Linked DNA regions of Ovis aries. The protein of the gene in region 2 interacts with the protein of the main gene of each other region in a pairwise test. Links are inferred from orthologs where the notes say so. Each region holds a gene or a part of one and is shown on either strand. Other genes may lie near its edges. The genes, in order: NUB1 and SNCAIP.

The links.
Region 1: the proteins of SNCAIP (region 2) and NUB1 interact in a two-hybrid assay, tested with the Homo sapiens proteins (2 studies listed by BioGRID). The link is inferred for Ovis aries from reciprocal best matches to the Homo sapiens genes SNCAIP and NUB1.

What each region holds. Positions count from the first base shown.
Region 1 is NC_056057.1:115,512,902-115,517,507, reverse strand, and holds the start of NUB1 (NEDD8 ultimate buster 1), read right to left. Parts: upstream 2,839-4,606; 5' UTR 2,686-2,838; exon of another isoform or gene 622-2,685; intron 1-621. UniProt on the Homo sapiens protein: Specific down-regulator of the NEDD8 conjugation system. Recruits NEDD8, UBD, and their conjugates to the proteasome for degradation. Isoform 1 promotes the degradation of NEDD8 more efficiently than isoform 2.
Region 2 is NC_056058.1:29,123,857-29,127,666, forward strand, and holds part of SNCAIP (synphilin-1), read right to left. Parts: coding exon 3,628-3,810; intron 2,032-3,627; coding exon 1,852-2,031; intron 1-1,851. UniProt on the Homo sapiens protein: Isoform 2 inhibits the ubiquitin ligase activity of SIAH1 and inhibits proteasomal degradation of target proteins. Isoform 2 inhibits autoubiquitination and proteasomal degradation of SIAH1, and thereby increases cellular levels of SIAH.

The DNA.
Region 1 (4,606 bases), on a different chromosome or scaffold from region 2:
GATCCTTTACCACTGAGCCACCAGGGAAGCCTGTTCTATTTCTTAACTGCTATCACTCTCTAAGAGGAAAGATAAAATAAGAAAGATAGATCCTTAAAGCAGCAAACTTAAACAACTCAACACAGTGGCTCTGTGGTAAAGAATTTACCAAAATACAGTGGCTCTGTATGTTGGCTATTTTAACACAAAAGAGCAATCACCCTGGCAGGTAAATATAAAGAAGAGCTAGCTTGAACCATGAACTATCAATAATATACATTTTCTATATCTGAAATTTTAAAATTGAAAATTTAGGGATTTTTCTGGTGGTCCAGAGTTATGACTCTGTGCTTCCAATGCAGGGGGGCTGGGTTCCATCCCTGGTCAGGGAACCAGAGCCCACATGCCACACAAAGTCTCTGGATGCCACAACTAAGGCCTGGGCCCACCAAAATAAACAAATATTTTTAAAAATAAGAGAATTAAGCTAAAACTTTAGTGTTTACAGTGCTAGAGAAGTTTTGCATGATATTTTCTGATAGAAGCATAAAAGCAGATCTACTCATCCTATTCAAATCAATACTGGCCGGGTCATCATCTTACACACGAAAAGCCACAGCCCAAGTCTGTAAAAGGACTCACTCAAGGATGAAAGATTAGGCAGCGCCATAACTAGTCCTGGGACTTGTGCCCGCAACACTGGATCACTGCGTTCTACCGCCTCTGCGAAGTCCCTGCTGCTTCTCTGTCCTGCGCTCACACAGCAGTGGAGTCTTTCACGCCTCCTTCACTAGCACTAGCATCTCAAAGGTGGGTGAGGCTGCCAGAGAGTGAAACAGCTGATGGGGCAGTGCACCCAAGTCAGATGAGCAGTGACCAAAATCAAAGGTTAGTAGCCCCTGAAGGATGGAGACATGTTCCAGAGAGTGAAAAAGTAGGTAAGACTTAACATAACCTAGATGAGCAACTTTTTCCTATTCAGGGCCTGTATTCCACACTCCTCAAATTCAATTCACCTGATTTCTAAATCAAGTTTGACAACTTTAGTGTATTCTGTAAGCAAGTACTTTAAAAAGAAAGTTCAAATCCACTTTATATCAATTTGGGGGCAAGAAAGAGGGTAATCAGGATAGGGGGGAGAAGGGAAAAAGGGGAAAACAGATCAAAGAGGGGGATGTATGCATCCAGGTAACCTAAGAAAGAACCCCAGTTTTTCAAGCACTAATAAACTGCTTCTCACACATAAAATTGGACTGTAGTCTGCCAGGCCCCTCTGTCCATGTAATTTTCCAGGCAGGAATTCTGGAATGGGTTGCCATTTCCTCCTCCAAGGGATGTTTCTGACCCAGGGATCAAACCCACATCTCCTGCGTCTCCTGCACCGGGAGGCGGATTCTTTACCACAGAGCCACAGGGGAAGCCCCGCTCACAAATGTTCAGAAATTCCCAATTAAGTATCACTTGTGAGGGGGTGGTAACCATTTCAAGGGCCATTCAGGGAAGCCAAGCCATTTTAGAAGGCTGAATGCACAGCCCTCTGTAATCCAAGTAACTACCAAGCGGAAGTCTCAAAGGATTTCCTAAACCTAGTGTGTGGCCCACACTCCTGCTGCTGCTGCTGCTGCTGCTAAGTCGCTTCAGTCGTGTCCGACTCTGTGCGACTCCATAGACCGCAGCCCACCAGGCTCCCCCGTCCCTAGGATTCTCCAGGCGAGAATACTGGAGTGGGTTGCCATTTCCTTCTCCAATGCAGGAAAGTGAAAAGTGAAAGTTATGTTGTTCAGTCGTGTCTGACTCCTAGTGACCCCATGGACTGCAGCCTACCAGGCTTCTCCATCCATGGGATTTTCCAGGCAAGAGTACTGGAGTGGGGTGCCATTGCCTTCTCCTCGTCCACACTCCGCCCACCAGCAAATACACAGCAAGGAGGGTCTCCAGTCCACCACTTAATGTTTGAAAAAAAGATTAAACCATTGTCTTAAAACTTACAAAACCACTCATGGGCAACAACAACAACAAAAAAAACGAGGATATGTATTTTAACTCAAATCAAAAGGGAAACGGTTTAATAAGTCAGTTTTCAACGTTAATTGGAAAACTGAAAGTTTCAGGCTTGCTACACAATGTTCCGTGTCACAGTCCCCGTCAAAAAGCAGAAATTCATTAATACCCATGCTGTAAACCGAAAGTGAAAGGGTATAAATCATTCCTGTAACATTTCGCTTTCATTTTTTAAATAAATCGATCTACGCTGCCTTTATCCAGAGGTTTTCAAACATATACAAACACACATATACTTATTCAAAATACAGTACTTTTCCCTCTTACACTATTACAAGAATCTTCTATTAAAAAATGAGAGTGTGGGAAGACGTTGAGAAACATACAGAATCTGATCGTCAGGGCTGGAGAAAATAAACCGCGTTTTCTCATTAAACAGGAAAAGAAAATCTGTCTTTGATTGCAAATAAATCCCAAATGGCGTAACAATGTTACGATTCAAGCTTTTTGTATGGCCAGTGAGTAATTTTAACATATACATATGTTTCTCTGCCTCCCTCCAAAAACATTTCAATCTCTCGTTTTAAATACCCACCACCCGCGTCAGCCCAGAGCAAACCCAGGGCCGGGCGAAGGGCCCGGTGCGTCCAGAAGCCCCGACCCGCCGCCCCCGGTCCCGGCCGAGTCTCCGCGCAGGGCGCCCACCTCCGCCGCTGCCCGGGCGGGGTCGGCGTCGGGGTCACGCCTGGGGGGAACTAGGGCGCCGGGCGGCGCGGCTGACACCCGGGTCAAGGACCGGACGCTCGGCCGCCATCTCCTCACCTGCGCCACAGCTGCGCCAGCCGCGACCCGCCGAGTGCCCGGATGCGGCTGCGGCCGCCGTTTATTTTCATTCCGGGTGAGGCCGGCCCCGCCCCCGCCGCCGAGGCCGCCGCCGCCGCCGGGCCGCCCCGCCCCGTCCCCGCGAGGCCGAGAAGCAGGGGTATGGGCGGGGCTAAGAGGGGGCCGGGCGGGGTTGTGGGTAGGCTGTGGGCGGGGCTAAGGCGGGAGAGCTGGACACGGATGGGGCGCAGCTGGGGTGAGAGGCGGGGCGAGGGGGGGCGAGGCGGAAGGGCGGGGCAAGGGTGGGCGGGGCTGGGCAAGGGGCGGGGCTAGAGCCTGGGGCGATCGGATGTGGGCGGGGCAGAGAGGAGAGCGAGAAGGAGCCTGGGCGTTGACCGCCCGGGGGACTTTCCGGGGGTCGGGGGCGGGGCTGGCGGGAAGACTCAGCCCGCAACCCTGGGGACCGCCCGTGAGGACCAAGGCGGTGTTGGGCGGGGCCGCTGTCCCGGCCAAGTTTACCTGACTTCTGAGGAAATTGAGCTTGGCTTCATTCCTTCAGAATCCTCGAAAGAGGCCAGAGCACCTTGGAGCAAGCCCCTTCTCCCCCCACGGCGGGAAAGTCTGGACTTAGTGCAGCTGGGTCCGCCCCCGCCCCCCAACCCCCATCCCACCCCCGGACTGGGTCTAACATGATGACCCCTCTAAAAGTCCAGCTTTTCATCCCTCCGTGCATCACTCGGCCCAGGCCTCCGCTTTGGTGAACTTCCCGGCCCCTTGCCCTCGTACTTCTCTGCTGGTTTTGCTGGCCCTGCTGACCCTGTCTCCACATGCTATTGCTGACAGGACCTCTGGCAATCGGCCTGCTCCCGAAGCGCTTTGCCCACCCCTGTACTCAGTCATCTAAGCCCCTGGCCTGACGCCTGTGTCCTGTGTCTAGGGGAGGACATAAGACAGGCTTGTCTGGAACTAATGGAGCTCAAAGCCCGCTGGTTGAGCACAGGTCATAGCATAGCTTCCAGAGATGGTTAGATCCGCCTTCGGTAGGACCGAATCGAAGAATGGGAAGGCAAGATAGAGCCCATGGCAGAGCCCAGAAACTTCTCGCTCGGATGAGACTGTTGGTTCTTCCATTCCAAACCCAAGGCCCCAGCTCGCTTGGGCAGCACATTAACCAAATCCAAGGCCCATCCTGGGACCTTCTCTAGCACTGTCCTGGGCCCTGCACGTGGCAACTGGCTTCAGCCCTGGGGATCTAGGCAAGCTGCCCAGCCTCCACCTCACCTGGGAAGATAATATCAGTACCCCACCCTCCCGTTTGCCCCTGCACAAACATTCCCTGAAACAAAGTGTTGTGTCTAGAATTACTCCAGGAGCTGCAGACTGTCTGAAAGGGGCTTTGCAAACTCTCTGACACACTCCACAAGGAGAGGGAAGCATGACCCCTCCTCCTGGTGCCCTTCTGCCCCTGGGGGAAGAAGCCTTGGGTGGGATGTGTGCCTAAGTCCATTTTAGGGGAGAGAAATGTGTGCAAGGAGATCAAACCAGTCCATCCTAGAGGAAATCAGTCCTGAATATTCATTGGAAGGACTGATGCTGAAGCTGAAGTTCCAATACTTTGGCCACCTGATGGGAAGAGAGCCAACTCATTGGAAAAGACCCTGATGCTGGCAGGAGGAGAAAAGGGCAACAGAGGATAAAATGGTTGGGTGGCATCACCCACTCCATGGACGTGAGTTTGAGCAAACTTCAGGAGTTGATGATGGACAGGGAAGCCTGGCATGCTGCAGTCCATGGGGTCACAAAG
Region 2 (3,810 bases):
TTTCTTAGGCACCTTTCTACTTTGAAGATTCTTACTCCATCAAAACAAGCATTTGGGCACACAAATTAACAAATTTTATACAATTATGTGTGTGTGTTAGTTTCTCAGTCGTGTCTGACTCTTTGCAACTCTGTGGACTGTAGCCCACAGGCTCCTCTGTCCATGGGATTTTTCCAGGCAAGAATACTGGAGTGGGTTGCCATTTTTTTCTCCAGGGGATCTTCCTGACCCAGGGGTTGAATCCAGGTCTACCACACTGCAGGCAGACTCTTTACTGTCTGAGCCACTAGGGAAGACTTAACTACAATTATGTAGTTAACATATATTCAAAACCCACCACTAGTGAGGAAAACTAATGAGCACTGTATTTTATAAATACTAAAATGACAAGGTAGATGTCAGCAATCACTGGCACTGAAAGAATATTTTAGTCATGACTGACAGTCCCACTGATTACCAAACCCAATTCTTGCCTTCCCACAGGATTCTGACATGGGACTAGATCCTGAATTCACCGTCCTGCACTGGTAACTTACCTGCCTTATCCACCAGGCTATCAGTTCCTTAAGAAAAGAGACTATGTCTCATTCACATTCGTTTTGCCAGCATCTTAAAACAATGTCTGGTGGACTCAAAAATACTGTTTAACTTCACTATACTGAATTTTCACTCACATTTGTTTTTTCTTTTTTCTTGATGGCAGTTCAGCTCTTATTTGACATAGCATCATTGACAACTAAGGAAAAATGATATCTATCCACTGGGGTCATGGATTTCTTATATGAGCAAAAAACCTAATCACTGAGTAACATTAAACACAATAGAAAGCAACTTTTTAACAATGTAAAACTTTGCTGAATGATAAATAAATTGAAGATACAAAAATTTAGATTTGCGTAAGAGGTATACAAGGGAAGGAAATTGCTTTTCAAATATAACATGTTCCTTAGTGAATTCACAAAGAGACTTTAACCAGCAAGTTCCCCTAGTATATTTCAATATAATTCTATTTGTAAAAATTATGATTATTCAGCTTTTAGAAGCCATAACTATTAAGCAAAGCAAAGTACAAATGCAGAAGCACAAGATGTATTATATTTCCCCAAACTTCACTTCTGGCTTCTTAATAAATGTGACTGAATTCCACATTTATTTGCCAAAGATCTTAAAAGTAATTTTAGTTTAATAGCTAACCTTCTAGTGATGTGTTACATTTTACAGAGGCACTCACTACAGTGCTATAAAAGACAACATTTTCCTGTATCACTGTTTCTAGGTTTTAACTCTATCCCAGTCGGCATTAATTTGCCTAGTTTTTGACAGATAACATATTGTGCTCTGCGAGAGCCAAACTCAAACTCGGCACCGATATTCTAAAGAACTCCTGATACTGCAGACGCTTCAACTTCAGATGTAATCCATTAGAGGTCCACTTTATTCTCTGAAATCCTCCTGAGTGCTGGGCTAGCATGCCTTACCATACACTTATTCCCCATTCATCGTGCTCATTTATACTCACATTAGGAAAAAAAATGAAACAGCCTCACATAGATCCAGAGGTGGTTAAGAATCCAAACTGCAGTCACCATGAATAACAAAAGTTCTTAAAATGGCAACAGATCATTTTCCTTTCTCTTTATTAGCTGTTTTGATGCTTACCCTAAATTGGAATATAGTCTCAAAATCTCAAAGCAGTTAGTGACTGAGATGGTTAACCTTTTAAAAACAATAGGTTCGTTTGCTGTTTGCTTGGAACATCACTCTTCTCTCTTTCCACTCTAACATTTAAGTTTACTAGAAATCTTACAAGGCAGGAACATGTGGAGGGCCCAGCCCCCAACTACCAGTCACCTTGATGGCCAGGCCTGCTGGAGTCAACTTCTCCACATTTCGCTCGTTGAGGCAGTCTTCTCCCATCAAAGAAGTGAGGTGCTGCAGGCACTCTGCGTGCCCCTGCGATGCGGCAACGTGTAAGAGATTGTTTCCACTTTCGTCGTGAATTTTGTCTAGATTGTCGGCAGCTAGGTGTGGCTGTACACATAGTAAGACGAGGAAAACTTAAGTCAATAAAACAGAATGAGAAGCTGTGGGGGTTTTGCTCCGGGCCTTGGGAAGAAGAGATGAACTTCCAGAAGCCCTGGTGACAGTCATGGGGTTGTAATAAGTCAGAATTCCTTGCTATGAAAGCACAGGAATGCTCAAGTGACTTACTTTCATGGGAGACAGGCAACAAAGATGAGTCAACGGGTCTGTAGAGGCTCCAAGCCAGCTTTCTAACAACCCATGGCAACCAGCAGGTTTCTTGTCTGTCTCCTCCACTCCTGCTATGTGTTCTGAGGGCCAGACTCTGCTTTATTCCCTGCGGTAGGTTTGCTGAATGAATGAACTACCTATCTTAACCATCTGCTTTGCCTTGAGCTTTAGAGAGCTGGTTCTGACAGCAAGCCTCATGATGGGTGCTGTAGTCTGTACTCCCCTGGGTACCTCAAGGCACTTTCACCCCTAAACAAACTCCTGGGCATCTCTGGACTCTGGTTTCTTCACCTCTAGTGAAGTTCATTGCCCTGAGCATGACTCATCGATAAAGACTGTTGGGTAAATTGAGAGTTATTATCATTTGGGAAACATAAAAACATGGGAAAGATAAAAGAAAGGAATGAACCAGAGAGGAAGAGCCAGGAGAAATGGAAAAGACATTTTCAAGAGACAAAAAAAAAAAAAAAAATTACTTTACTTAGTAAAATTGTTCAATGATATCATCCTATTATAACTCTAAAATTTGTGGTAATAGACCAAGTGCATTACATTTATCTATGCACAGCTTTACCATGAGTAGAATCACATGGCCAAGATGTGATGATTTTCCTTGAATGAGACTTTAATTAACACCACAGTGTCAGCTCAGGCTTACTACTGTTTGATCCATGTCTGGAAGCCAGGAAAGAACAATGTAGGCAGATGGAATGTGATTTCAGTTTAGTTTTCTCTGAGCCTAAGCAGAACAGACTTTTCTTACATCATGTTACTCTGTGTCTAGAGTCTCTGGAAAAGCTTCTTTATGCTCCCTAGACATGCAGACCTGGAACTAAATAAAAACTCCGTGTGGGTCAGAGGGCAATCAAGCTCTAGGGTAAGTCTCTATCTGCAAATGCTTTCAAACGTCCTGGTCCAAGTCTTCTGAATAATGATCAGGATAAAACAGAAGACCCTCTGTTCATATACCTGGCAGTTCCCCATCAGCAAGGAACTGACATCCCCACAAATAACTCAGCGAGAGCATTGGGAACCATTTGAAAAGCAAAAGGAAAGACATTAAGATTCGTATTTTTTAAAGTGCTGGGCTTTTTTTGGTTTTGCTTTTCCTTTAGAGTACATGTCTTTATTACAGTTGAATTCATGCACAGTTCAAGTGAAATAATACTCCCTCTATAGCCATTTGTTTTTCCTTACATTAACCACCTAACTTTTAATTTTAAAACTCCAAAGTCACATTGCCCAACTAAAGCCGTGAGCAGAGATTAAACAAAAATTGGAACAAAAGCATTATCATTCTGTTACTGGTGAACGGAGTTGATAAAGCTGGAGATCTAGATGGTTAGTGTGTGTAATGAATTAGTTCATACTCACCAGGAGAGATATCTGCCCTTCTCTAACAATGTTCAAGACGCTTTTTACTTTTTTCAGGTGCTCGCTCCTTTCTTCGGGCCCCTGGGAGCTGGTCCAGTTCATGCCACCGATCTGCTCCTCAAGTTTGGGGTCTGTTGCCGAGGACTGCAGATGGAAGGCCCTGAGCTGGCAGTCTGGTGCCAT